Drosophila melanogaster: one gene and its partners. The protein of the gene in region 3 interacts with the protein of the main gene of each other region in a pairwise test. Each region holds a gene or a part of one and is shown on either strand. Other genes may lie near its edges.

What was found.
Region 1: the proteins of CG14194 (region 3) and Acp24A4 interact in a two-hybrid assay, tested with the Drosophila melanogaster proteins (one large-scale study listed by BioGRID).
Region 2: the proteins of CG14194 (region 3) and CG16713 interact in a two-hybrid assay, tested with the Drosophila melanogaster proteins (one large-scale study listed by BioGRID).
Region 4: the proteins of CG14194 (region 3) and Catsup interact in a two-hybrid assay, tested with the Drosophila melanogaster proteins (one large-scale study listed by BioGRID).

What each region holds. Positions count from the first base shown.
Region 1 is NT_033779.5:3,688,699-3,695,465, reverse strand, and holds Acp24A4 (accessory gland protein 24A4), read left to right. Parts: upstream 1-1,560; 5' UTR 1,561-1,605; coding exon 1,606-1,672; intron 1,673-1,741; coding exon 1,742-1,911; 3' UTR 1,912-2,282; downstream 2,283-6,767. Other genes in the region: CG16713 (uncharacterized protein), read left to right, coding at 110-176, 232-413; CG43165 (uncharacterized protein), read left to right, coding at 658-724, 783-1,003; CG3513 (uncharacterized protein), read left to right, coding at 2,298-2,376, 2,438-2,625; CG16704 (uncharacterized protein), read left to right, coding at 2,926-2,995, 3,111-3,280; Drgx (dorsal root ganglia homeobox), read right to left, coding at 3,988-4,628, 4,987-5,144.
Region 2 is NT_033779.5:3,694,532-3,701,357, forward strand, and holds CG16713 (uncharacterized protein), read right to left. Parts: upstream 881-6,826; 5' UTR 826-880; coding exon 759-825; intron 704-758; coding exon 522-703; 3' UTR 501-521; downstream 1-500. Other genes in the region: CG43165 (uncharacterized protein), read right to left, coding at 1-152, 211-277; IM33 (immune induced molecule 33), read right to left, coding at 1,759-1,940, 2,001-2,067; CG3604 (uncharacterized protein), read right to left, coding at 2,842-3,240; CG10031 (uncharacterized protein), read right to left, coding at 4,055-4,230, 4,296-4,509; CG42464 (uncharacterized protein), read left to right, coding at 4,962-5,025, 5,089-5,288; CG42465 (uncharacterized protein), read left to right, coding at 5,714-5,771, 5,835-5,998; Sfp24C1 (seminal fluid protein 24C1), read left to right, coding at 6,169-6,232, 6,289-6,467; CG42467 (uncharacterized protein), read left to right, coding at 6,776-6,826.
Region 3 is NC_004354.4:19,190,904-19,199,416, reverse strand, and holds CG14194 (uncharacterized protein), read right to left. Parts: upstream 5,863-8,513; 5' UTR 5,586-5,862; coding exon 5,548-5,585; intron 5,470-5,547; coding exon 5,399-5,469; intron 4,994-5,398; coding exon 4,419-4,993; intron 4,359-4,418; coding exon 3,966-4,358; 3' UTR 3,380-3,965; downstream 1-3,379. Other genes in the region: CG7990 (uncharacterized protein), read left to right, coding at 1-144, 636-900, 968-1,186, 1,274-1,434; CG7914 (uncharacterized protein), read left to right, coding at 5,969-6,916.
Region 4 is NT_033779.5:19,037,799-19,045,554, reverse strand, and holds Catsup (catecholamines up), read right to left. Parts: upstream 3,694-7,756; 5' UTR 3,610-3,693; coding exon 3,231-3,609; intron 3,176-3,230; coding exon 2,205-3,175; 3' UTR 1,941-2,204; downstream 1-1,940. Other genes in the region: Ttc19 (tetratricopeptide repeat domain 19), read left to right, coding at 652-1,185, 1,238-1,401, 1,472-1,619, 1,672-1,935; mib2 (mind bomb 2), read right to left, coding at 4,433-6,514, 6,577-6,739, 6,801-7,470, 7,584-7,751.

The DNA of each region.
Region 1 (6,767 bases), on a different chromosome or scaffold from region 3:
AGCGGAGAGTCAATGCAATGTCGTGGCTATAAATTAAGCTACTTTAGCCGTTCAGCAGTTCAGTTTGCTCTCATCGCAATCAGCTAAAGGTTTTGAATATCTCTGAACTATGAAACTGTTGATTTTGGTTTTCGTGTTTGTCGCTTTTGTGGCCAACGCCTTGGCCCTGAAAAATGGTTGGTTCCTAACTGTTCATAACTCAAATTGGTTTGTAATCTGAAATTTTTCCAGCAATCTGTGGTCTACCCCATTCCCTAAACGGAGATGGCAGAATATCCTGTGAGGCCTATATACCCAGTTGGTCCTACGACGCCGATCGAAACGAGTGCGTCAAATTTATCTACGGAGGCTGCGGAGGCAATAACAATAGATTTAATTCGAGGGAAATCTGTGAAGACAAGTGTTTGCAATAAAATTACGTGAATCAAAAATTGAAAGCTTTTGTATTTCAGTTTGGCATGGTCATGTACTTGATTTGGCGCAGCTACTTTTTTGATTAGCTAGCACAATCTGATCTGAGACTCACAGACTTGGTACATACATTGTATAAGATTCAAAATTTTGAAAGTCCGCACAAACATTTCCATTTTGCATTCCCGAGAGGCATTACTTGATCTACGGACTCGTAAAGACGTTGTTTTCGAAACTCAAGTTCAAATGAGGCTAGTGGTTCTTGGCTGTTTGCTGCTGGCACTGGAAACAGTTGGCTTGTGTCTCAAAGATCGTGAGTTTAGGTAATAAAATGTAATACAATTTTTGTGTAATATGATCATTTTCATTAGCTATCTGTGGACAACCGCCTGCAGTAAATGGCAATGATTTCATTAAGTGCGCTGGAAGTTTTGAAAAGTTCAGTTACTATCCACACATAAATGTTTGCCAGAAATTTGAATACGGCGGCTGTTTTGGAAATGATAATAGTTTCAATACCCTAGAGAAATGCCATAAAAAGTGCAAACTCGATTGGAATACATTATATTTCTTAAATTGTGCTTACATATAAGTAAAGATGTAAGCCAGGCAGGAATAATTATTAAAAAACCTTGAATACATAAATCTTTACTTGCTTGTTTCAAAATATTCAATGTTCTTAGGCCCTTGCAAACAATTCCTGGGCTCTAAAAAAGTGGTAAGCTCATATTTTTTCATATGACAGCTTAACTCCCCATCTAAACAATTTGATGTTTGCAGAAATTTGTGGATTACCAAAAGTCGATAGTGGCAAGTGCTTGGCATATTTCAAGCTCTGGACCTATGATTCCAAAAAGAACAAATGCGTTATCTTTATCTACGGAGGATGTCAAGGCAATGAAAATTCATTTAAATCCAAAGAAGAGTGTATAACTAAGTCCGTGGAGTAATATCTTTTCTAAAATATCTTTAGAATAAAGATTGTATGATTCCAATCTGTATTGGGTGTTTTCTATTTTTAAGATTTTAAAAGACCTCTCGACCTCATTAATATGACTGTGAAATCCTAAATTGTTCACACTTAACGGAAAACTGTATGCGATATGAATATGAGTATAAAATACGCGACGCGGTTCGCTTAGGCTTCAAAGTTTTGTTGACTAAGTCAGTTAAAGGTTCCCAATATCTTTCGCCATGAAGCTGCTGATTCTTCTTTTTGTTTTCATCGCTCTTGCAAGCAATTCTTTGGCTCTGAAAAATGGTAAACTTAAATTACCTTGTTTCATAGTTGATCGTCCCAATTTAACTATTTAATGTTTTATGTTTGTAGAAATCTGTGGATTACCCGCTGCCGCTAATGGTAATTGCTTGGCATTGTTTTCTCGCTGGTCTTATGATGCTCAATATAACGTATGCTTTAATTTTATCTACGGCGGATGTCAGGGCAACGAAAATTCATTTGAATCCCAGGAAGAGTGTATAAATAAGTGCGTGGAGTAATATCTCTACGAAGATATCTGTATCTATGATCTGAATGTATGCGTACGAAACACAAGAAACATTTAGTTAGCCTTACAAATCATCATTTAAGAGCAAGAAACTTTCTGAAACGAGGGGAAGGCACAATCTAAGCTTGATTTTTTAATCTAGCCCGAAGTACATAATGCTTCACTATTTAATGTACAAATAGATTTACAAGACTAACATCTGCACTTACATGTATGTGCCAGTTCTTAGCTATCTGCCTACTTTCTATATAAGGCTGGCGGACATGCAAGATAAGCCATAGCCATATTCTTCCCGATTTCTGCGTATATGTACACCTCTATAAAACGCTGGCGAGACAAAGTCTGGCCCACCATAGTTCAACTGAAGTTTTGTCGAAAATGAAGTATATCGGCTTTGTCGCCATCGCCTTTTTGCTGAGTCTGTCCGGCAGTCGTTTATGGGTGCATGCCAAGCCGGGTGAGTAGGAATATGATTGCTCCAGACCGTGCTAAACTATGGATGATTCCCGATCGTGTAGAGATGTGCCAGCAGCCCTCTTCGATGGTGGGCATGGCGCAGGATGGAGCTGCCTGCATGGCTTTTATGCCGGCCTGGACCTATGATGCCTCCAAAAACGCCTGCACCGAGTTCATTTTCGGTGGCTGCGGTGGAAACTCCAATCAGTTCTCTACCAAGAGTGAATGCGAAAAGGCCTGCAAGGACTAAAGAAATACGAAATCACATCTTCACATCTTGGGCAAAACCCACAGCCTAAAACAAAACAATCTTGTAACTTAAAAGCCAAAACAAACAGTCGGCAATCTGGTTTCGCAAAATGGCAAACAAAATAAAAACCATACTCAACAATATCAAGGTTTGTTGTTTTTGTCAGTGCTCAAGAGACCTGACCCTCGTCGATTGATAACCGATCCGGTTTGTGCCTATAGTATATAAAACGACCAACATCTCGGATCGGTCAACAGTTCGGTTTGAGATTTCAGTAAAGCAAGCCCAAGCAAAATCAATATGAAATACCTAGTCGTTTTTGCACTCATCTGCTGTCTTGTGGCATCAGCATTTGCGACTTTGAAAAACCGTAAGTAATAACGGAGAAAGCGATCAAATTTATAGCTACTAGGCTTTACTAGCATGAGGTACAGAATGGTCTCGCTGTGTTGTGCTAAAAATGGTGCTTCAATTTGAACTTGCAGCAATCTGTGGCGAGGAGTTTGGCGTCAAGGGTACTTGCCGTTCCCTGCAACCCATGTGGACCTATCGCCCAGATACGAACGAGTGCTTCACCTTCAATTACTCCGGCTGCCACGGAAACAATAATCTATTCCACAAAAAGTTGGAGTGCGAAGAAAAATGCAAAATATAAGTGCCCATTTGGTTGTGAATAAAGTTGGAAGTTCGGTTTTGTTATCCTAATGTGATCATCTTTATTGTTTTCTTTATGAACTCGTTTAATATTTATTAATATTGGTTTGGCGGTTACTATACTTAGTTTTCGATTCAGTGTCATAGGCTAGGCTATATGTGTTCGATTCGTCGTTAGCTATATCTATATGCTGTAGTTTATAGGTATGTATATATATTGCATTAGATTTTGTATATATGTTCATATGCATTTGCGTGTTAATTAATATTGTTAATCATTGGAGTTGTCCTCGGCTGTTGCTGATTATGTTGGGTTCAATCGGGGGTTATCTTTTCGCAATCTAACTGCCACAAACAAACAACAGCTAATTATCATTCTAACGTACCTAAGATTTTATTCGAGTGCATCTGTTTAATTGTTTTTTTTTCATAAATTTTTTTTTCCTTTTGTGTTTACTTGGTTCAATTAAAGTTAGGCTAGAGCTTATTCTACTATTAAACTTTAAAATGTTTTCATTGTTTATTGTTACAAACGCGCTGGTTTGGGTATTTCATTTTAAAGATTTTCTCGGACTTTGTTTGGAGACCAAAGAAAATGGCGTGGAAATAAGATGGCCTGAAGTTTGTACAAATTTATAAATCTGAAAAATAAAATACCCAGCCTTTTCATTGCACACTCTGTTCGTTTTTTCCTCGGCCAACTATTGTTTATTCCATTTTGGTCAGCACCACGTTTCCATTCAATGAACCCGATCCTGCAATCGCTCCTGATCCTGGAGAGCCCTCCGTTGCTGCCACGCCCCCGGATGATTGCTGCGTGGGCGTGGTTGGTGGCGACAATGTGGCATGTTGCTGCTGCTGATATGCAACTGCCGATTCGGCCAGATCCAAAAGAGCGGCCGATGATGTGCCGCCTCCTGCCGAACCTGATCCCGAACCAGATCCTGAGCCGGGGCCCAGACCATTCATGGTCATGTCCTGAGCCTCGTGCTTCATTCTCATCGTGTTGTTATTGTTGTGATTGACCACATGCTGCCCCAAGGCCGGATGGTGGGCGAAGGACAGGGGTGGCAAGTGGAGGCCCGGAAAAGCCAAGCCTGCAGCAGCTGCCGCGTGCAGCGATTGCAAAAGTGCCGCCGAATGCTCCTGCGCCTTCCGCCGCAGTTCGGCCACCGAATTGGACCGCGGATCATGAACGGATCCCTGGCCGGAGGACTTTGGCGATTCCGGCGAACTGGCCGCCGAGCTGCTGCTGACCGGAATGCTCAGTGGAGCCACCACCGATGAGCCCGGTGGCGGCGGGGGCTTCAGGGAGCAGCATGAGCACAGGCTCTGGAATGGAGAGACGCCTAAAAAAAAGAAGAAATTTATATATTATTTACTTCAGACTAAGTAGAATTTTCTCTTTCAAGAATTAAATTAGCAAGAGTGTCTCGAATGCAAGTATTATTAATGGTTACTACAGATTGATTATTGAAAAAAAATTAATTTTATTAATCGCACTCAAATGCCTTTAATTGGATTAGCTGATTTTCAATTCTATTTATCTTGTCCTAAATTCACGTTGTACTACGCAATGTTTTATTAAATTAACATTTTGTCAAGCCAGCAGATTTGATTTTGATGTATCTCCTTACACTCCGTCTAATTTGATTAGACTGAAGTGATTCGGATTGACTTTGCCACTGATCGATTGGCCAGACTCACCTTTCAGGCCCGGGAAAAGCGGCTGATGGGTAAACTGGGCGGCCAAGTGGGGTGGCAGGAAAAGCGGTGGGTGGTTGGCGCTCCGCTGGGCCGCTGCTGCCGCCGCCGCAGCTGCCACGGCGCTCTGCTCACTCAGAACGGGACGAAAGCCGCAGTTGCTGCAAGTAAATAAATAAGAGAAACAAGTTATTAAAAATGATATAACATAGCTTTTGAAAACTTGGAACCATTTGAACACCCTTCCGCAGTTTATTTGCGGAGATCAAAGGCGTAAATATAATATATAAAAACTGTAAATAAAACACCACACAGCACACAAGGCAAACAAAAACAGCAAACACAGTTTTAATTAACGCTTAATTGAAATAAATTAAAACATTTTTATGCGTAATTGCATTATTATTAATGAACCCAAATATTTTGTATGAGCGTGGGCGGGGGCGGGGGCATAATCAACACCCAGTTGTCATTTTTGTGATCGTTTTAATTGAATGAAATATTACGCTTAGTCGCATGTCAAGGCAAATGGGAATGAATAAAAAAACGAAACAGACACACATACACCCCAGCCAAACAATAAAAAGCATTTAATGCAATTTAAAAATTTTAATTGATAAGTGAGACAACGTTTGTGGAACTGGTAAATTCCTATGACTCGCATAATCTCCATTAATAAAATTATGGAACAAAATATATGTACATACATTTTTATTAGAAATAATTGCGTTTAATCAACGAGAGCGAAATTTCAGTAAGTGAAAAAAAATGCAATTTCCATTTGTTCAAATTTACATTAGGGCTGCGGCAGCCGAGGGAAAAGTGTCTAAAATTTGATAATTCCTGCAAAAAAAAAAGATGGGGCTGCTCTGTGGTCATAACAAATCTGTGGAAATGCTAATCGAGTTGGAGGACTTACGAGGATTTTCCAGCGCGGAAAATGACAGGCAGACCTCGCGAATGGCGACCGCAACCACCGAGAGAAACGGACCACAAACGTCGCGGCCACTGTCGCTTTTAATTCTCTTCGCATTTCACTTTTCATTTGTCCTCCTGCCATAACAGTTTTCCCCTCCATTTTCCTAAGCTTCTCATGTTTCTGACTTTCCCTTAGCCACCCACAGTTTGTCGTGATTTTTGTCGAGTTTTTCTCGTTTCCACTGGCCTTGCTTTTTTCGGCAGTTGGAAAAACGCAAAACGCTTGGCCGCTTGAAACGGAATTTTCAATGAGATAATTGAATTTTTTGCTGTGTTCCACAATGATGGTTTTGTCAATTTTCAATTTTTGTTTTCATTTTGAGTTAGAACTTCAAAAAAGGCACAAATATAGCGCTCTTTGAGATTGGAACCTAAGCACAAGTTAAGTTTAAGTTTATGTTCTGCTGATTAAAACAAACTCAAAAGCTCAAAATAGCTATAATATTTCTAAAGTAACAAATGGAGTTTTTGGAAGAAATATCCGTTTTATTGGAAAGTCAACACACGCATATGCATTTTCCCCACTTGCCCCTTGGCACCTAATTAAGCTCGGAGCCAAAAAGCAAAAGTCCAGATGAGAAAGCTCAAATAGCAGCCATAGGAAAAACAACGAAGGCAAACACTCGGGCGTAGACAGCACCGCCCCCTAACCCCCTTTTGGCCCCAACCCTCTCTAGTTGCGAAAAAAGCAGTAAACTTAAATGTTTGCGTATAATTAAGCACTCATCCTTTGGTCGTAATTAAATTTTGCATGTGCACATCCAGCAGATGCTGGATGTTGGATGCTGGATGGACCCGAGAGTCTG
Region 2 (6,826 bases), on a different chromosome or scaffold from region 3:
TAGGGTATTGAAACTATTATCATTTCCAAAACAGCCGCCGTATTCAAATTTCTGGCAAACATTTATGTGTGGATAGTAACTGAACTTTTCAAAACTTCCAGCGCACTTAATGAAATCATTGCCATTTACTGCAGGCGGTTGTCCACAGATAGCTAATGAAAATGATCATATTACACAAAAATTGTATTACATTTTATTACCTAAACTCACGATCTTTGAGACACAAGCCAACTGTTTCCAGTGCCAGCAGCAAACAGCCAAGAACCACTAGCCTCATTTGAACTTGAGTTTCGAAAACAACGTCTTTACGAGTCCGTAGATCAAGTAATGCCTCTCGGGAATGCAAAATGGAAATGTTTGTGCGGACTTTCAAAATTTTGAATCTTATACAATGTATGTACCAAGTCTGTGAGTCTCAGATCAGATTGTGCTAGCTAATCAAAAAAGTAGCTGCGCCAAATCAAGTACATGACCATGCCAAACTGAAATACAAAAGCTTTCAATTTTTGATTCACGTAATTTTATTGCAAACACTTGTCTTCACAGATTTCCCTCGAATTAAATCTATTGTTATTGCCTCCGCAGCCTCCGTAGATAAATTTGACGCACTCGTTTCGATCGGCGTCGTAGGACCAACTGGGTATATAGGCCTCACAGGATATTCTGCCATCTCCGTTTAGGGAATGGGGTAGACCACAGATTGCTGGAAAAATTTCAGATTACAAACCAATTTGAGTTATGAACAGTTAGGAACCAACCATTTTTCAGGGCCAAGGCGTTGGCCACAAAAGCGACAAACACGAAAACCAAAATCAACAGTTTCATAGTTCAGAGATATTCAAAACCTTTAGCTGATTGCGATGAGAGCAAACTGAACTGCTGAACGGCTAAAGTAGCTTAATTTATAGCCACGACATTGCATTGACTCTCCGCTAATCAGCGATCCCATTAAACACTGTGATTGTACGACAAACAAATTAAGCTCACATATGACTGGGAAATCTCCACAAAAATTCGCACCGATCTATGTAAATATTTTTGCCGCATTGTGTTTACATTCGTCGGCTTCCCAGAAACGACTTTGTTTACTGGCCGCCTGAAAGGGAAAGCCCATCACATTATAATTGTTGTATCATATGAAATATACAATGAGCTCAACAAGTGTTGTAATTATGGATATGTTCTCTTATCGATAGGAACAACGGGAAGTGTCATACTTACAACGGCCATGGCGAAAGCTCCGTAAAATATTTCATTTCATTTGATAGGTCCATTTCGTAAGTGTTTAAAAATTCCACTTAAATGTTTCAGTTGTTCGTTGGAACCCCTCTTTTTACTATAATATAATAAAAAAAAGACACTCAGAGAAAAATCCGTTTTCAACCATCTCGATTTGACAATTTCGACCCCAAAATCTAGCTAAGATTGAATAATGCTCACCATACTCAGATTGCAAATGACTTTGCTCTCATTTGCCTTCCTCTCTCAGTTTTTCAACCTTTCCCTTCCGTCTGAAAATATCAACATTCAGATCGTTTTCGTCTCGAAATCGAAGGTTAATTCTCAATTTTTCTGGGTGTACTTTTTTCTAGTCTCTTAATTAATTCAGCAACTTAAACTTTGCCCGATAGTGCGATCAAAACGAACCTTGTTTTTTTCTTTATGTGATGTAAAATGAGGTAAGTTATAAAGAATCGTCCAAAAAGTTATTTATCGAAAATCATTTATTGAATATTTTGTAGAGCATAGAGGTCAAATTTATTCCTTGCACTTTTGTTCGCAGAGCTCCTGGGTTCCAAATCGGTTCTCATTGCCGCCGCATCCGCCGTAGATGAACTTTTCACACGAATTGGTTTCGGGATGATAACTGAAGCTGGGTATAAAAGCGGCACACTTGATGAGACCATTGCCATCAATACCAGCGGGCAGTCCACAGATAGCTAATAGATTGAGAATGTGAATTAGAATGGTTTCGATTTCCTGAGCAGCTCCCAACTTACGATCCTTGAGGCCGAGGGCCACAGCCACCAGGGCGAACATCAAACAGACGGCAGCAATGAATTTCATACTGATTGCGATTTTGAAAACTATGTATATCTCCCAGCTTCCGTGGAACGACTAATGGAAATCGGAGGTGTAGCACTAGGTTATATACGCCATGCCGATCGGCAGATGGGAACTACATATTGGCTGGGGATCTTATCTATATGCTCATGAACTTTCGGTTCATTAACGAGTGCTCGTGAATTTGGTATATAAACAGACGAGACTTCGAGTACTATGTGCTAGTGCTAGTGTTTGTACTGAAAATAATGCCGGAATAGCAAATAAATCTAGGAACTACGTTCTGAATAAAGTAAACACGATTAGGCAGCGATTTGTCATTCGGAAGTGGGTTTGTCCGATTTTTTCCCAAATTTCATTTATTTCCTCTTTTGCTTGTATAATATATTTATACATTTCGTTTTCAGAATCTTTGCGATATAAGTGCATTATAAAAGTAGTCATATTTTATCAAAATTACTGTTTACACTGTTTAGTTCCCAAGATTAATTAAAATCGTCTATTCATGACTCAAGTTTTTGTGAGTCCGTCGGGTTTCGAAATTAATGACTTTCCGAGATGTACTGCTAACCACTTCTGACACTTACAAATGTATCTACATACTGTACTGCTAGTACCAGATGTGCGAATAAAACGAAATAGATATATAAATCACAATGGTATATTTATTAAAATTTATAATCAAATTATTCAAATAATCAACTCAGTAAAGAAATGCTTTTAAAAGGCTGATGAAGTTGGATGACAAATAAATTACAAACTAAGAACTACAATTTTTTAAGACGAGGTGCTAGTTTCTGTGGCCACTTCGCTGTTTTGTTCGGTTGTTGAGTCCGTGGAGGAAACCGCAGACTTTACCAAACATGCCTGTTCGCACTGCTCCTTGGATTCGAAGTTGTTCTTGTTGCCGGCACATCCACCGTAAACGAACTCCTCGCAGGATTGTGTATCCACGTTGTAGGCGTAGCGATAGAACAGAGCGAAACAGCGACCGGTTTCCTTGGGCTGATGACAGTCCTCCGGAACAGTGAGCTCACTGGCATCAGGCAGGGGTTTGGCCACCGCGGGCTCCTCCGCCTTCTCCACGACGACATCCGAGGGAGCTGCACGAATTCCGGCTGCCAGGAGCAGAACAGCCGCGAATACTATGAAACTGAAGCTATATCTAAAGCACATTTCGAGTCCGTTGAGTGGATGATGAGCGAATGATTTCGGCTCGCTCGGATATTGCGGCTTAAATACTATCCGTCCGAACTGATTAACTCACGTACTACTATACTCACTCAACTGGGTTTTTGCCCACCGTTTTGCCTCTTTTTGTGTACTTCATTTATCGGAGCGCCAGCTTGTTTGTCCAACTGATTCGTCGCCGCATGTAAATCACGGCGGTGCCTCTCTGACGTCTATATCCACGTCCATATCGATATCACCTGGCACTGACAGCTCTCGGAGAAGCTTTCGCGGCCCAACCTTCAATTGCAGATCAACGCACCAACGCAAGTCAATCATAATGCTGGCCATAAAATCATATTCCAAGTGGCTTCCGTATCGGTGTGACAATTTTAGTCAGCCAAATCACGTTTAGCGAGCGGAATGGGAATCTAACTGAATTACCTATAAACTGGTTAACTGTCGGTTGAAGTTTTTTGTGTATCTAACGAATGGGGTAAGCTTTGGAGCTTCAGAAGAAATGAATAAACTGTCTGGTTAAGAAATGTTCCTAATAATCGCTCGTTTGCGATTCTAATCATTAGGTAATTTTCAAAATTGCGCATATAGGTGGAAAATAATGCACTTAATTTCTTAATTCCAATTATAGATAAACATTTGATATACTGCTTACTTGTAATTAGTTAATTATTAAACGTATATATTTCGCATTAGCAAAAACCCATTTCAAGTAATTATTTTAAAAATACATCAACAAATAATTTCATCTAGCATTTACAATTTAAAAACAATCTCGTATTTTGTGACCGCCATCAATGGATCACTTTTTGGGAATACAAGCCTCCTCACAAGTTTGTCGGAATCCCCAACGATTGTCATTGCCTCGACATCCTCCGTACTTGAAGGTCTCGCAAGCTTTTGAATCCTTGTTGTAGTAGAACCTTTCTAGGCTCATGCGGCATGGACCAACGTCCAAGGGCTGCAGGCATTTGGGATCTACAAATTAAGGGATTTAATAAAGGTCCATAAAAGTTCTTCGATCAGTTTATAAATAAACATACCTGGTACCAGTCTCTGTGGTTTGATTGTAGTTGTGGCAACTGCAGGCTTGTTTCCCGATGGATTTCCAGGTTGCACCTGAACCACAGCCTTCGGTTTAATATTGTTATTATTATTATTATTATTATTGGGAGTGGCTACTGCCTGCGTAAGTTGCATAAGACTTAGCAAAACGAGTGCCGCAAGGCAGAGAAACTGGGTCATCCGCAGAAGCATTTTGTGTTTGCAACCTGATAACTGAACGTTAAAAGCAACGACTGTGAACTGAACTGTTCCGAATGTTCCATATTCCAGTTCTATATGCTGTGCTTAGACGATCAATTACGTTCAAATTAAATCATTTGCTCACTCTCTGCTCATCCATGTGTGAGTTAAGCTCGCATTGCGCATACGCCGTGTTGAACGCTGGCGAGATTAATTAAATAATTTCAACAAAGCAAACAGATAGCACATAATTGGAACGCATTTTCGAACTCATAGTGCTCGCATAATAATATATACTTGAATCGAATAAAATAAACAAAAAGCGATACCCTATCACTTGAAAGAAAACTGTAGACTTTTCAAATTAGGCACACTTTAAGCCAGGTTATTGCGAATTATAGAATTATAAAGACATCTTTCACGAGAAAGGTCTTCAATCTAAACAAAGTTTTACCGGGAAAAAGATGTTCATCAATATATGGTATTTATTCATAGCATTAGCTGGTGTTAATGCGGAATCAGCAGATGGTTAGTGTGTATTTCATTATTAACTACCACTCCTAAAATGTGTAAAATAAAATATATATTTAGAAATCTGTCAACTTACGCCTGAGGCTAATGGCTTTGGGAAAATTATGTCCTGTGCACACTACTCGAATTGGTTTTCCTATCATTCAGATAAAAACGAATGTCTGGAGTTTTCATACGGAGGCTGTGGTGGCAACGAAAATAGGTTTCAAACTAAAGCAATTTGCGAAGATCTCTGCAAAAATAAAGTTGAGCAGCTTTGAATAATGTAAAAAAATTTCGAATGTTTTTTATTTATAATACAATAAATAATAGAAGTAATATAATAAATAAATCAAAGTTTTTTTTTTGTAGGGCAATGGAATACCCTCATGGTGTTGTAAAAAGATTGCCTACTTTTTGCTGGCCTTCTTTTTTGTGCTAATACATAAATCTTAACTTCTGGCAGTCTGAATATTTAATAAATCATTTAATTTTTTATATAAAATGTTTTAAAACAATTATTCGGTCTCATACCCTAACCACAATAATTTACTTTCCGTTTCCATGGCCAATATTTTACATAATTCCAAACCTAATTAATTAGTTTCGGATAATTCATAAAAAGGATAAAGGTAAGCTTATTGCCCGATATTGGCAGTTTTACCTCAGTTTTTTAACGTTGATTCAAAACATACACACATCGAGGATGAAAGTATATATTTTGATCTGGACAATATTAGCTCTAACGGCGGATATAAATGGCTGTGAGTTCAAAGCAGAAGTATTTATTAATAATTAACACTTAATAATGTAACACCTTCTCTCAGTGGTTTGTAATCTTGAACCTTTTGTCCAAGGATCATGCCTGGAATTGACAGACCTCTATTCCTATGTTGAATATAAAAACGATTGTGTATACTGGCAGGGATGCCTTCTGAATGGAAATCATTTTAGCAAAAAAGAGGAGTGCGAAGACATGTGCAAGCAATAACTAACTAGTTAACTATTTTAAGATTTGAGTATTTTTTCAATCTTGTAGAGCCCTCGTTTTTTGCAAACACATTTTAAGTATGTTATATCCAGAACTAATTCTATTAGTTGTCGATACTACTAAATGCATAAAAAAAACCCTCTCAATTGATCAGAGCTCGTCGTTTTGCGATGAGGTCGTTTTGTATATTGGCCTTATTAATAACCCTTAAGTTCGAAATGGGATATGGAAATTGTAAGTTCAAAACGAAAACATTTAAAATAATTTTAAAAAATATTCCTTTACTCCAGCTGTCTGCAATCTTCAGGCCACATTCATTGGATGGTGTAAAATGACTATAAGAGGATTTACTTTCGTAGCTTCCAAAAACGCATGCCGTAGAATTTCTGGACCATGTGCTGCACAGGATAACTTTTTCATGGACAAAGCTTCCTGCGAAACAGCATGCAAAAAAATAATATTACCTTGAAATCGTCGAGCGATTTATATTTATATTTATTTATTTATATTTGCTAGGATGTGCTTCAAATTAACTATTAAAATCGTTTCCGATTCTTTAAAGTACATATATATGTATGCTCTTAATCTTGGGAACTACAATTATATTCTATTATTCGCTGAAAATATTAAAAAAAAAAAACATTTCAATCAGAACCTATTTGTTTTCTAGCAACACCTGAAGCTAATTTAATTAGTTAAAGGTACTTCCTATTTCCAGATATTTTCACTCTATATAAACCTGATGCCATTTTTTTTGTGTTTATTCACTCATTGCTAATGAGATCGTTTTGTGTGTCTGTCTTATTAGTTACCCTTTTGGGGATTGCG
Region 3 (8,513 bases):
GAGCAGCAGGTTGCCATCCACTACTTGGCTAGCTTCCATGAACTGTGCGTGGTGACCGCCCTGCTGCCGCTGGTGACGCTCTTCACGTGCTTCGTGACCGCCTACGTCTTCCAGTACGACGATGTCCACGAGACACATTGCCGCGTGAGTAAATGGGCACCGGGCGATCCAAGGGTATTCAGTGGCCAGGATGATGCTGATGAATGATGAATGTTTTGGGCAGGGCTCCGGCGCGTCGCCCGTGGCCAATAAATCACTGTCATCCCTGCGGGAATCCCGCCGAGATTGGAGACACGCAAATCCGCTTTTCCAAACGATTCGCTCACAATTGCTCCACGCATGGCGGTTTTTATTTTCACCAGCGGTCATTTATTTAATTTTAATTACAATAAATTTCACCAGTGAAATATATTCCTATTTGGGTATATATATAACTCAAATAGATTTATACATATCTGATTTTTTTATGTTATTAATATATATTTTGATTATTAGTGGCCATAATTCATTTTCCTTGCAAGTATAGAGAGCATTCACTTCAAGGGTAACCCGTCCGTCCATATTCAAGAGCATCTCCCACCATATCTTCAGTCTCCAGATTAATGTTATTAATTATGTATGGCATTCGTTACCAGGTCTACAACATTATACCCTCGATAAGTGCAATTACCGGCGTCAGTCCGCAGCGCTACTTCTGGCGCTTCAGCATCGCGCTCCACATCGGACCGCGAATCCCCATCGCCTTTGTCTACAAGAACTACTACCGCTCGCAGCTGCGTCGGATCAGTCCCGCCCAGGTGCCTCAGACGAGCCTGCTCATCACGCTGATCCTGGTGCTCAATTGCATCGAGATCGCGTCCCTGGGCGGCGTCACCTATATATCGAATCGCGAGAACTACCGTAGGTCCTGCCCAGCCCCCCAATCGTACATCTGATCCCTCTGATCCGTCTGCTCTCTCTCTTCCAGCCGTTCACGAGCGCATATTCATCACGTTCATGGTCTGCTCGCTGTGTTACATGCTGGCCACCATCAAGCTGAACGGCATCCTCAATGCCGGACAGGCACTGAGCGAAAAGCAGCTCCTCTCCATCAAGTGGAAGAAGATCCTGTTCGCCGTCTCCATCCTGAGCACCGTCGGCCTGCTGGTGTTCTTTGCCAAACATCGCTTCTACTGTCACGACTTGGGTGCGTTTCAAATCTCTTAGTTTCACATTTTCCACCCCGAAACAGATAATGAATCTCCCACATCTCTATTCCCACATCTCTTGACAGCATTCAGTTGGTTCGCGTTCTTCGAGTACTTGATCGCCATTGCCAACATGCTTTTCCACTTCACCATCATCTGGGACTTCCCATCGCAGTTCATGATGATCGTGCAGGGACCCCGCGAGAATCTTGCCCAGTATTTGAGCAACCGGCCGAAACTGGACTAGATTCGACCAGGACTAGATGCCCCCAGCACGCCACTCCTCCAGTGAACCGTGTGCGTGTAATTCCCGTGCGAAACGTACAATTAACGAACTTCTTCAACTTTAAAACTAAGCGCTTCCATACCGATCAACCATAGCAAATTTAGCCTTCTTCTAATTCTTCGATTCTCTTTACACTTACACTTATGTATCAATCTAAACCGAAAGCGAAACCAAACCAAAATCCAGAGATAAATGTTCCATAGTTCCATGATTAATATAGCTATTGAATTTAACAACAAGTATGTAAAGAATTTTGCCAGATTAGAGGGCATACCGTTCTATGTACACATTCTAAATACGTGAAATAAGTTACCTAGGGATTAAGTGCACCCAAAACCAAAACCAAACCAAATGGATCGCAGCTCGCCAGATCTCATGTCAATTTCGAATGGAATGCAAGGAGCCAAGCCAGGTGCGAGCAGTTTCATTTGTTAGGCAGTAAAGTAAAGTAAAATAAATAGAAGTCGCATTACTTACCACTTAGTACATATCGTTTATACAAGATGATAACGAGCAGCGGGAAATAGCCTCCTTGGGACAGGCCCTATTGGCCCCCAACCACAAAAGAAAAACAAACAAACATAAAAGGAACAAGGACACGATTCTAATAGACGGTAATCAGACAATAGACATTAAGTGTGCGACTTTGCTGCGGGCAACGAACCAGGACCTCCACAGATTCCATCCGAGCAGTGATGGCAAATGATATTTCCCGGATAGTTGATAGCTAGCTAACTCATGCCCATAGTTTCAGAATCCCTCACTGATCGTGGATCGGATTGAATAATCCGAATGGACGTGGAGGTGCGGCTTCTGGTGCTCACGGGGTCAGAAGGTCAGTGGTATAAGCAAATGTAGCCAAGTAAACAATTGTTCTTAGCCAACTTTAATAGTGAAATAAAAATCGAAAGACGGAGCAATCCGGTGAAAACTAGAGGCCCATCATAGGTAACCGAATTGCAAACCAGATTAGGATCAATATATTTTGCAGCAAAGGAGTTGCGTAGGTGTTTTTTTTTTGTTTTTTTTTCTTCTACACAAGAGTACTTAGTGTAAATCGAGAAGAGTTCAAATTGATATCGCTACTTGGCCAACTTTGTGCCATATGTACACAGCAGGTTCAGGCGGAAGGTTTTATTCGATAAGTAGTACGTGCTATTGCTAACCTTAATTATGATTGCGATTGTGCATTATATTTGCAGGAGATCGACGTCTTAGGTAATAACCCCGTATGTTCCCGAAAACGAGCAACGTATTTATGTAGCTAAGCCAATGAAACAATTGTTAATTCTCACACAAAAAACCAAATACAAACGGACACTCTATAAAAAAAAAATGTTATACAGATTAACAAATGCAAGCAAGCTCACGCCCACTCATGCGATATGTTATGCAATAGTTAAGTTGCCAGTTGCACCTCGCGATCGATCAGATATATATTGTATTTGAATTATTGTTAATGCTTACACGGCCTGCGTTTAGCCCACTTTAACTATATCTATACTAATGTATAACTCTGTCCCGCTCCATTTCGATTCCCCATTTCCGATTATGTGCCTCACTCTCTCTTTCCCACACCCCCAAGAATATGTACTTCCAGTCGCATCCGATCCGGTTGCAGACTATATTCATATATTCATATATATATATATATATGCGCTTTATATATACCGCTCACCGGCTAATCTTCAATTATTTTGTCCGGCAAATGGATGGTCACTTTTTAAAATGCAACTTTTTACCTTTGCATAACTTTTTAGGCGACACAACGTAAGAGAATTAATTAAAAATGAAATGCAAAACTTAACTATGAAATACATATGTAAACTTTGTAGCTTCCTAATTGAATAAAGATAAATACAACTCACACGAATTTCGAACCATTTCATCATCGTCTTTTCATTTTGATGGAAGCACTTAAGTATATTTCTCGTTTTCACGTACTCTGTTAATTATTTACACTTTATAGTAGGTCATTACACATAAGTGGGCTTCTCAAGGTGTGAGAGATGTTTTACATATAATACTAGCACACGAGTCAAAATTCCGAATGCGGCGCTGTTCAATTTGTGGTCAAGTTGGAGTCCGATTCGGGTCTGGACAAAAGCGTGTGGTGGTCAGGTCCTGTATGCATGTATGTGCTATATGTGCTATCATATGCAGGCGGATGCGTGGAAGGGAGCATGGTGGGTGCGATGTGCTTGGTTGGTTGGTTGGTTGGTTGGACATGGTTCGTGGGCGGTGTTAGCGTTTGTCTTACAATTAAAATTCAGTACAAGTCTAAAAGCTACGACGGAGACGTGAGTGTGTAAGTGGGTATGGGTATGCTTAACAATGCCTAACATAAACACCTGAACAAAGGTGTGCGGCGTCTCCTTGTGCGCGTGCAAAGAGGCTGTCCTTAAGTCTACGCGGTTCTTGCGATTTATTGTAAATGTTGCTGTTTTACTGTTGCTCCTGTACTGCTCCTGTGCTGTACTGGCCGTCTATATCTAGTCCGGCAGATCGATGCTGACGAACGGAACCACCGGCTTGAGAATGTCATTCTTGGCCCCCTTCTTGCTCTTCTTGTCGTGCTTGTGGAACTCGTGCAGCTGCTCGCTGGCCGCCATGCTCGTCGAGGAGGACGCTGCGTCCAGCGGCATGGACTGTGCAGCATTGCTGTGGGTTTCCGGGTGATAGCTGATGTTGCCGTACTCCTGCAGGAACGGCATCGCGGACAACAGGAACTGGCTGAAAGACTTGCGGATGCCGAACCACCACATGTTGCCGCCCTTTGCCGAGGAGCTAAGAACTATTAGCGCCAGAATAGAGACGAGCAGCGGTGAGAAGACCACGATGTACGGGAACTTAAGCTCGCCGTCCAGCTTGTCGCAGATGACCACCTGGCGGAATAGATGGGTTAGCGATGCACAATCTTTTGGAGGGACTAGATGAGGTCTCACCTGAAAGCAGAGCAGTGGGAGCACCGTGCAGATGTTGCCCACCGCTGCGTTTAATGCCGCCTTCTTCTGCTGCAGCGAGACCTCCGGCGTACGCATCATGATGCCACAGAAGATGATGTTATACAATACGCTGACCAGGCTCAGGCATATGACGATCCACATGGGCACAAACACTACGTCCCAGTTCCAGTAGACAAAGCGATCCAGCTTTAGCGGCAGTGAAACAAACTGAAGCGCGTTGACCGCCAGGAAGAGCTCCAGCTCGAAGGAGCGATCGTGCTTGACGGCCCAGACACAGGCGCCCACACTAACCACCGAGCCGAAGATCAGCGGAATGAAGACCAGCACCCACAAGTGACGGTCCGAGGTCAGCTTATCGCAGGCCAGCAGCTCAAACATCAGCAGGATCAGGTGCAGGGCCAGTGAGATGAGCATCGCTTTGAACTGCGTGTAGGCATCGCCCTCGAGACGATAATGCGGATACCGACACCACACAATGGCTCCTACGATTGCGCCCAGGATGGCGGTGCATTTCCATATCCATAGCGGTGTGAAAATCGCCCAGTAGGGCCAATCTGGGATAAGGCATTCGATTAGACTAGGCTACTAGGCCAATTATAAGGTTAATGCCCTACAATAAATCTTGTTCAGTAATTAAAAATCTAAATATTTAGCTTAGATAAGTTATTTAAAATAGCGAGAGAACTAATATCCTCGTTAAGTGACCAAATTTGGATGATCCTCTATGGTCAGACGATTTCTTCGATATTGCTATATCCAATCTCATGATCTGCTTGCTAACCCTTGTATACAATAAATCTGGACTATTCTCTAGAAGAAGCGATGGTGCACCGTACACATATTTGTGTATGGGTCGTATATGCTTGTATTGTTATATGATTGTATTTTCTTGCATCCCCGTGCTATTTTAATTCTGGGTGACGTTGTGTATTCCAGAACTGCCACAGAAAAGTACCCACCAATGTAGTTGTCGAGGCGCAAGGCGAAGAGCGTGACAAAGATGAACAGGCTGCAGTGGACGATGAACTTGCTGAAAGGGAACATGGTCGATTATGTTTTAGATTGGGAACCCATGTGATCCGGTCGTCCGCAGTCGGAGGCTTCTCACCAGGGATTGAAGTCGCGGAACAGAGATTCCAGATTCATGTTGCTGAGGACACCATAGAGCTATGTCACTGGACACTTGGTACCTGGACACTAGTTGCTCGTGGGCACCCGCCGCACCGCGTCCGCTCCACGAAGCGATCTTCGCCCGAACAAGGCTGTGTGTTATGATGGAGTGGGGGGGCGGGGGCAGTTAGTACTCTACGCCTGGCGCCGATCTTTCACCCCTTTCCCTGTAGATATTCTGTTCTTTGTTTTATTTACACACTTTTTTGACTGGCATTTCTGTCCCGAGATTCGATATCGATAACTCTTGCCTGCTCTGGCGATTGGCTTGACTAAGGACTAGCCAGATGTCTGGCTACAATTCGCCAGATTTCCGGCTACGCTAGCCTGCTATCGATAGCCTCGATAGGCACAGGAAAATGTTATCTTATTTGGAAGATTTGAAGGAAAACGAGGACCAGCTGCGGGATTCAGACTGCTGCGGCAATGGCTGCACCAACTGCATCCTCGACAACAAGCCACGGCCAAGCAAACGCGTCCTGCTGGCTGGCAAACGCAACGTGATCCTGAGCTACACGAAGTTCCGCCTGTTGCGGCGGGAAGCGCTGGGACCCAATGGACAGTTGCTGCTCCTGCACTTTGCTCATGCAGCAGAGGAGGGGGACGGCGATGGAGCGGTGGACACGGTGCTTGACATCCCGCCCGGCCACCATGTGATGCTGCGCGTCGGCTCCCTGCTGCGTCCGTATTCGCCCTATTGGAGCGACTTTGTGGCCAAAGAGTTCCGTATCCTGGTGAAGCTGCAGCCGGAGGGGCCAATGTCTCGGCACCTGCAAGCCGTACAGCCCGACGATCTGCTGGAATTCCGTGGTCCCATCGGGCAATACGTACACGAACCGCAGCCGGCCAAGTGCATCTATATTATCGCCCAGGGAGTTGCTATTGCACCCACTCTGCCGCTGGTTCGGCAGGTGCTGGACAACGAGGAGGATATGAGTCGCCTGTGGCATTTGGTGTGCGCTCACGACCTGCTGCATGTCTACTTCCGCGAGGAGATGCTCGAGTTCGCCCAGTTCTGGAACTACAGGAGCTGCCTCTACCTGCCGCATCAGCAGTGTGACTCCTCCGCTTGCCAGGAGGCGGGCCACTGTGCCCAGCAGTGCCCTCAGCTCCGGGACAATCTACGCTACAAGGAGACGGCAAAGGTGTCCCGATTAGATGCCACCGAACTGGCCACCCACCTCAATCCCGCGATTCCCGGACAGCGTGTCCTCATCGTGGCTGGAGATTCAAGTTTTCAAAAGAACATCGCCCAAATAGCAACACAATCATTGGACGTAGATCCGGCAAACATTTATATGTTGTAAATGCCGGGAAAAACTGTAGTTGCTTATAAATATTTGAATATTGTTAATGAATTTGTGATCGTACTGGTTATACCGAGGGTTTTATATTTTTTATACCCTAGATTCGTTGAAAAGTATGTAACAGACAGAAGATATACATATATTCTAGATCTGGATCAATAGCCGAGTTGTTCTGGCCATGTCCGTCTGTCCGTATGAACGTCGAGATCTTAGGTACTATAAATGCTAGAAGGCTATCACGCCCACTCTAACGCCCACAAACCGCACAAAACTGCCACGACCACACTTTTAATAAATGTGTTGATATTTTTTCACATTTTGATTAGTCTTCATTAATTTCTATCGACTTGCAAACAACGTTTTGCTACGTCCACTCGAACGCCCAAAACTGCCACGCCCACATTTTTGAAATATTTTTAAATTATTTTATAAGTCGTGTAAGTTTCTATCGATTTAAAAAAAACTTTGGCACGCCCACTCTAACGCCCTAAAACCGCCCAAACCTGCCGCGCCCACATTTTTGAAATTTTTTTTGGATATTTTTTAATAATTTTATTAGTCGTGTAAATTTCTATCGATTTACAATTTTTTTTTTGCCACACCCAGTCTAACGCCCTAAAGCGGCCATAACTGCCACGCCCACACTTTTGAACAATTTTTATTCCCCAATATCTATCGATATACCAGAAAAATTCAGAAATTTCGCGTTCGCATTCACACTAGCTGAGTAAAGGGTATCTGATAGTCGGGGAACTTGACTATAGCATTCTCTCTAGTTGGCATTTGAAACTTTTACATGTTTTCTATACTTCCAATTAAGCATTTGAGTGTACCGAAAATGGAATGTGTACTTCCATAAAGGAGGAGGAGTTCACTTCTTCATCATCAGTAATACAGGTAACTCCAACTACTTCTACTGTTTTGCCCACACTTGCTACTTTTAATTGGTTATAGGGCATCTATACTTATCGCTGCTAAATGAACATATGGTTTTGGCCATCCAGGTGGCTCTTCAATCCATTTCGCTGTCGGCAAATCATTTACTTTGTTAAAATCTGAGCATTGCAGTTGCAATTCTCATACCAAATGTATCGATCGGGATTTAATTGTCTTTAAAAAAGCCGACTGGTTTTCGCTGTAATTAATACAATTGAGCGTCTGGTTATTCACTGGATGAATCGAAAGGAAACATTATGAATCCAATTGCCATTAAACATTCTCTATGGTCATCTTTTTATTTGACCTCCTGTGTCCACAACATGGTTATGATTCCATTTGACTATTAGTGATCCAATCTAATTCAAGTCATACCAAGTGGATGATATTTTAGGAATCAACCCAATTGGTGTTCAGATTGGAATAATCTGAACACCAATTTGAACATACCCTGTACCTTGATTTTGAGAAACAAATGTGTTTGTGCCTTAACAATTCGTTATTTCGAAACATTCTTTACAAAATAATTTGAATTACTTACAAACAATAAAAAGGATAATTTTATTTTGAAGCAAACTTATTGTTACAAGACAAAAACGAAAAAAAAAATAAAGTAATTTAACTTAAATACTGTGAGTTGATTCAAGATCTTTTAACATTT
Region 4 (7,756 bases), on a different chromosome or scaffold from region 3:
ATCGCTGGAAACTCGCTGCGACGCTGGAAAGATCTGAAATAAAACGTAGGTACAGCCGGCGGACCCACAGCTATTTCATGCACTGCTTTGCGAATTCACTCCTCGTTATATTCTGCACCTTTTCTTGATAAGAAAAATAATTTTACTAGGCGAAAGAGCGTCAATCCGCCATCAATATACAGGGATGCTTTCTCTCGGTCTATCGCCCCGCTGACGGCTATCGATAGTATCGTATGCGATGGGGGAAGGAAGTACCTTATTACGAAAAACTTTATCAAATGTACTTAAATGTTTTTTATTCGAGATTGTTAATAACTCTACTTATCAATTTATTTTTGTTCGCAGATTTAACTTATGAACGAAATGTTAGGTACCAAAGTTGCCGATAAAGTTTTGTTTGACAGTGTCATCTCTAAAAAATTTAAAAACCTTTGTTTACGAAATCTTAACGAAACATAAATATATTTGCGAAAGTATGATAGAGTAGAAATTATTTAAAAGTCTTCTATGTTCTTAATCAAGCGTTACGAAATGTACTTTTAAAACGTCTTTACCGCGCTTTGCAACACTACATACGTGCTATTTCATAATTTTTAATACCATACCTGCAACATTATAGGTTTTAGTTAAATAATTAATAAAGCCCTAAACATGTTAGTGAGAAATATTTGCAAGTTTACGCAAGTTATGGGCAGGTTCCGCGTTGTCGTGAATCCCAGAGATTACTGTCATCTTGCGCCGCTGAAGAGAAGCCGTTATCACCAACGGTCAGAATTCGGATGTCGACCGCTGTGCTCCAATGCTGCGGGCTACGAGGTGTCCTGGGCAGCTCCGCCCGCTTCTGGCTCTTCCGGTGGAATGTTTTGGGCATTTTCCGCTGCTTTCACTCTGAATCTGTTTGGTGGCGCCGACGAAAAAGAGGAAACTCCGGAGGAAAAACTGATCAAGACCATCAAACGATCAATCCTGTGCATTCAGAGGGAACAGTACGACAAGGCCGAGCAAATGCTTCACCTGGCTCTGCGAATGGCGCAGGATATTCAGAGCAAGGACGGCATCACATATGTGTTTGATCTGATGGCCAATTTGGCCATGGAACGCGAGCAGTTTAAGAAGGCGGAGAAGATATTCACGGACGTTATGAAACGGCTTTTTGCCGAGGGTCACACCGAAGAGAGTCCCAAGGTGGGTGACCCACTTAGACACCATAACCAGTTAAGATCTCTTTCATCTTTAGATACTTCACATCAGCTCCAAGATAGCACACATGTCTCAGCTGCAAGGGGATCTGGAAAAGAGCTTTCAAGGGTTCACTTGGACCTTGCAGCAGTTGGCTAAGCTACTGGAGAAAATGCCCGACGACAAGGACATACTGGAGCTGTATGGCTTGACAAAGAATTGGTATTGAAGGTGTTTCCATTGCCGCTAACCAAGCCTTTTTTCAATACTTTTCCTTATGTTTATTTTCCAGGTTCGGGCAGCTGCTGATGAAGCAGGGAAAATACCTGGAGGCTAAAAACCTCTTTAAGGAGGCCTTCGACACGCTCATAAATGTTTATGGTGCCGTTAACGACGCCTCTGTAACCATCCTAAATAACATCAGTGTGGCGTACGTAAACGTAGGTGCGTCTATTCTTCCAAAGTACTTGAAACACATTAGACTAATTACAGCTGGAAAAGTACGCCGAGGCAAGGGAGACCCTTTTGGAGGCCATGGAGCTGACTAAGGAGCTAAAGGATGCCACCCAGGAAGGCATTCTGCAGGCAAATCTGGGTTTGGTGTATCTTCGCGAGGGCCTGATGTCGCAGGCGGAGAACGCTTGCCGACTGGCGTGGAAACTGGGAAAGCAACACCAGAATCCCGATGCCGTAGAGCAGGCCGAGTATTGTCTCAACGAGATAAAGACAACCCTGAATGGAGAGAAGCGCCAGTGAGGATTCTTTTTACAGTGTAATTTTGACTATTTATAAAAATTTCATTTCGAAGTGAAGCACAAATTTGGAAGGCTTAAAAAATCTTAAATAACGCCGCATTGTTTATATTGGGAACTAATAGCGGTTACTGACTGTTGAAATATAAGAAATTTAAGTAGTTGCTCATCGTTTTGAGTAGGTAACGAACAGAAATCTTTCAAATTGTTTGCGGCACACTTTCAGTACATGCAATTAGATCTTTTTTGTGTTAACTTTCCACAATTTTGATATTACTCGAACTTGGCGATAACGATCATTAGGGCTACGCCGGTTAGCAGCGCAAAGATTTCCTTCAGCGACTGTTTCAGTTTCGTAGACTCCTCAAGCAGCTCCGGCAGGACACTCACTGTTGCGATGTAAATAAAACCGCCGGCTGTGAAGGGCAAGACCCATGGGGCCGATCCGTCCCCGCCTCCAGCTCCCAGAAGAGCTAGCGCTGTGCCCGCCAAAGCTCCGAGCGCTGTGACGAGCTGCAGAAGCATTGCCTTTCGCCTGGAACAGCCAGACTTTATAAGAATGGCAAAGTCACCAATCTCATGGGGCACTTCGTGCAGCAGAATAGTGATAGTGGTCACAATGCCAATGCTGTTGCCCGCCAAATAGGAGGCGCCGATGGCCAGGCCATCGGTGAAGTTGTGAGCAAAGTCCGCCGCCAAATTCAAGTAGCCGGAAATCTCCACTTCGCCTTCTGGCTCCGCTTCTGGTTTCTTGGACTTGATCTTGGCTGGCTTTGCCGGTTTGTCTCCATCTCCGCTGTCTTCTTTGTCAGAGGACTTTTTCTTAGCAGGCACTGGTTTTGGCTTTGGTGCTCCATGGCTGTGGCCGTGTCCTCCATGACCGCCCTTTAGAATGCGTACCAGTTTCTCCACTGAAAGGAAGGCAATGATTCCTCCAAGGACCCACAGACCAATGCTCATATCGTGGCTGTGACCATGTTCATGCTCCTCGCCATCATGATGATGATGGTGATCATGGCCGTGATCGTGGCCGTGTTCTCCATGACTGTGTGGATGCGTGGCATGAGGAATCAAGTGCAGAAAGGCATCACCCAACAAACCGCCAGAAGCAAAGGCCAGAAGCACTTTGAGACGCGGCTTCATCGCCTCACTGTTGTCTAGGGGAATGATATACAGCAGCACGAAGGGAGCGGCACTGATAAGAAGAGTTGAGCCGATCGAGTGCAACCAAATGGTGCTCATATCTATAAGAAATTTGGGTCAACTCGGGCATTTTAAGAGTGGTAGTTCGTTGATTACCCAAATCCGGCTTTGCCTTGGTGTGCCTTTCATCGTGCCCGTGATGATGGTGTCCGTGGTCGTGGTCATGATCATGATCGTGCCCGTGATGATGGTGTCCATGATCATGCCCGTGGTCGTGGTCATGATCATGATCGTGCCCGTGGTGGTGGTGTCCATGATCGTGGTCATGATCATGATGATGATGGTGCTCCGCCCGTGGAGCCTTCTGCGGATCGAAGTTTTCGTTGGCTTCCCGCGAGTATTTGAAACTGGGATTGCCCTGGCCGGCGCACAACGCCGGGAGCGAGAAAAGCACTGCTCCCAGGATTACGACCAGTGCCAGCTTTTGGTACAACTGGAGCTTACTGCACTGGTAATCAGCCACTTGTTTGGCCATTTTGTCCTTTACTTTAGTTTCGCGTCGGACTGCGGCCAAAGTGTTGTGACGTGTTTGCTTTTTTTCTGGCTACGTTGTTATCGATTAGCGTGTAAATCTGGAGGTATCGATTGTTTCGCTCAAATAAAAAATAAACTTGTGTATATTTTCAATTATAAGTTGTACTTTGCCGCTTTTGCTTACATTAACTTTTAAACGGAGCTTAAGATCCGACAGCTTGCCAAGTCAATGCTTACAAAAATGCAAAACATTTAAAATTTATGCAGCGTACTGAAAGAAAATAACTTGTTCACACTTTGCCGTTACAACATTTCAGTTTTAAAATCTTTCTAAACTTATTATATATTCAATTTTAAACTAAACCTTTTAAATACCAATACAATTAAAAGTCACCCCAGCATATTCAGAAATAAAGTATCTTTATTTTCTGTAGGCTAACCACCGACATCGATTGAAATTCACTCAATTAAATAATTTTATATTTGTATATTTGCATTTAAATGACTATTAAATATTTGTATGCTTTAGTTAGTTTCCTATGTATTTATCGTTACCAGACATGGTTAAACGGGGCTAATAACTAGACACGAGAAGGTGCACATTAATTTGTTGCGTGTTGCGACGATGCCGATGATGAACCGATTAAAAAAGAACTCGTAAATTTCGTTTGTGATCAATAAATAATAATTTCGATTTGCACATGACACGGCAATGTGAGTGTGTGTTTGTTTTGTGTATGTATATATACAAGCCACTTTGGTTGCTGTTTGAATTGCTGCTGATCCTGCCGCCTTTGCTTTTCTTTCGTTTCCGTTACCGCCGTTCAGTACAGGTTGATCTTCTTGAGTATTGTCTTGCGACACATGTGGCATGTGCGGAGCGTTTCGGCACAATGGGAGCACGCGCCGTGCCCGCACAGGAAGGCCACATCCCTTTTTCGCTCCATGCAAATACCGCAGAAGTGCGACTCCTCAAACTCCAGCACTTTGTTCTCCAGATAGCGAAGTAGATCCCCGGACGGTAGGCGAGTGGGGTCACTAGGTGACGACGTGGACGTGGGCAGGGCCACCACTCGGCCGCTGACCGTCAATCGCCGCTCGATCGCCACGGCACAGCGGAGACACTTTTTCATTCGGATGCCGCACTCCTCGCAGGCGATCTGATGCTGACACGGCTCAAAGCGCACCATCGGCAGGATCTCATTGCACACAATGCACTCATGGGGACCGGGGACGATCACCGGACTGGTACTGGGTCCCGCCGCTCCGGCTTCCAACGCGGTACTGCTCGAGCTAGTGGTAACCGGAGGCTTGGGCGCCTTCTTGCGCGGTGCCACCTGTGGAGAGACGTTTTGCGGTGTTGCGTCGGAGTTCAGTTTCTTTACGCCCGGCGAGGCGGAGGGCGTGGATGGAGATGCTCCAACTCCAATGGCTGGGATATCGTTTGGCTTTGGCATTAGTTCAAATGTCTGGCGCTGCGGTGGTGGGGGTGCTGCAACGCTTCCAGGTCCGGCTCCATTGGATTCAGCTCCAGCAGACGCAGAGCTCTCCTCACCGTCGGCTGATCCTGCGGACACTTCCAAAGCTTGAAGATTCCTAGGCAGCGATTCAGCTTCGCCCTGCTGCCCAAAAATCAGTTGCCTGATGTGGCGGTCCGTTATCCACTCAAAAATGCTTGCATTGGCGTTGTTCAGCTCCACTCGGCAGCCGGCCCTCGAAAGATAGATCAATATACTGTACATCAAACGATCCTCAGGACGAATGCTCGAGTGTACTAGACTCAGGTAAAACTTGTGAATCTCAGGAGCCTCCTCTGGCTGAGGCTCCGCGGCCGACTGCAGATTGGACTTCTTAATGACGCACAAGTGCATCGCATTGTCGCCATCCTCATCCTTGGCATTCACGTCGCAGGAGAGGCGAACGAGTCGCTCGATTACCCCGGCATGGCCCTGGGAGACGGCCAGTAGGAACGGCGTCTGTTGGCGATTATTGCGTATATCTAACTCCGCTTGGCCCTCAGTGACCAGCGTTTCCACAACCTGGGCATGACCGTTAAGGGCTGCCAAATGAAGAGCCGCAAAGCCATCGTCTTTGCGCACATTGACCAGCTGGCGGGAGAGCAACAGGATACGGCGAGCAGCTACCACGTTTCCTTTAAGCGCTGCATGGTGTAGCACGTTAAAGCCGCGATTATTCTTAACCGTAAAGTCCAGATTCGGAGCATTACAAAGCAACTCCACAACTTCCGTATTCTCTTTGCCGATTGCGTCGTGAAGCGCCGTATCCCCGTACGAATCCTGAATGTTTACGTTGGCATTGTGCTGCAGCAACTCACGCACACAGTGCGGCGTTTTCTTGTGCGCGCAGATGTGCAGTGCAGAGCAGTGGCTCGAGTTTAGGAAGTTCACCTCAGCACCGTGCTGCAGCAGCACTCTCATGGTGGCCGGCTGATTGCCGAAGGCTGCGTAGTGCAGAGCTGAATCACCTTCCTTGTCGACCGCATTCACGTTGGCACCCTTGGAGATGAGGTAGCTGACAAGATCGACGTAGCCCTGATGAGAGGCCACCTGAATACAAGCCTTGCCGCCACTCATCACATCCACCTGGCTGGGATTCACGTCCAGGTACTGCCGCACGAAATCCAAATGGCCCTGGGCAGCCTCGCGCACCAGCTTGTCGGCAACCGAACTACCGGAGAGGCCAGAGAGCGGTGTCATTACATGGTCAGCGCGTCGGTGGCTTAGGTCCATCATACTGTTAGAGCGCTCAGCTGCTGTTGCCAAAGGAGAACGCTCTAGTTTGACACATTTCGGATTCAGGGTCCACTCGAAGCCGTCGTCCAACTGCTGGATGCGGAGGTCACCGTCCGAGTACACCTTCACTACCTTGCAAATTTTTCCAAGGGCCTGAAAAACATTTTTTTTAAAGAATACTCTCAAAAAAGATTTAACATAATCTGAATACTCACGTGTCGCATGATTTCTATCCATTCGCCGTGACCCTTCTGCAGCTGCTGCACTTTGTTGGCATCGTTGATGATGGTGACCAGGTCACCGACACGAAAAGAGACAACCTTAACGAGTGCGGCGGGATGAAAGGTCCATCGATTGGGACAGTTTTCATACTGAACACTGTTTGGGTTTCGACTGTGTTAGAAATCCAAATAAAATCAACCAAATTATATATTCTCACCGTATATCCCCCTTGTCCGTGATGCGGTGTACTGTGCCCAGTTTGGACAAATGCTCGACCATGCGCGGATTCCATCCGCCATGGCCCTGCTGCAATTTCATTAGGGCGTCAACCTCTAGGCAAACCTTGACGCGGTCGCCCACGGAAAAGCTTGGCTTCACCATGGGCGCCACCGGCTGCAACTCCTCTGTCTGACCTAGAACAGGCATGTGGTCCTTATAGTAGTGACCACCGCACGTGGCAGTAATGTACTTGAGGTCAACGTTTCCCTTGTGACCTAGACGGTAGACGTTCGTCGATCCGGTTACCCACGCTACGTTGGCCACGCTGCGACACGATTCGTTGTCCCAGCCTCGGATTTCCATTACCCGACCCGTCCTGCCTTCTCCGCCGTCCTGTTCGTTCCACTCCCAGTCAGGACCGCGCACTACTTTGGAACCCACAAAGATGCCTCGCAGCTGGATGCGCTTGGCACCTTTTCTCATGGGCAATCTCACGCCCAGCGAGTTGGGAGTCGTGTAGCGGATAAACGGGTGCTCAATATCGTGCAGATCCTCTGCGTAGCAATAGGCGCATAGGTGATAGTTGGGACACTGGGCGCACTTGAATACTATGCCAGCGATACCCGCCTTGGAACAGCCATCGCAGACAACATTTGAGTGACGAACTCCTGCGAAAAAAGAATTCGAATATAAGACCTTATAAACAATGAACTATAAATAATTGTAATTTGGAAAATTAAAATTAACTAATTGAATAGATTTCTTAAATATCGTCACTTACCAACTTGAGCATTATCTACAATTATCAAGTCGTACTGGTTTTGGTAGCCCACACGGTAGTTGGTCCGGTGTCCGGAATCCCAGTTGACCACGACAGTGTTTTCTGGCGAATGTGTCGATCCGCAACGTCCGATTTCGCAAACGGTTCCAACGTGACCTTCTCCGTCGTCTGTT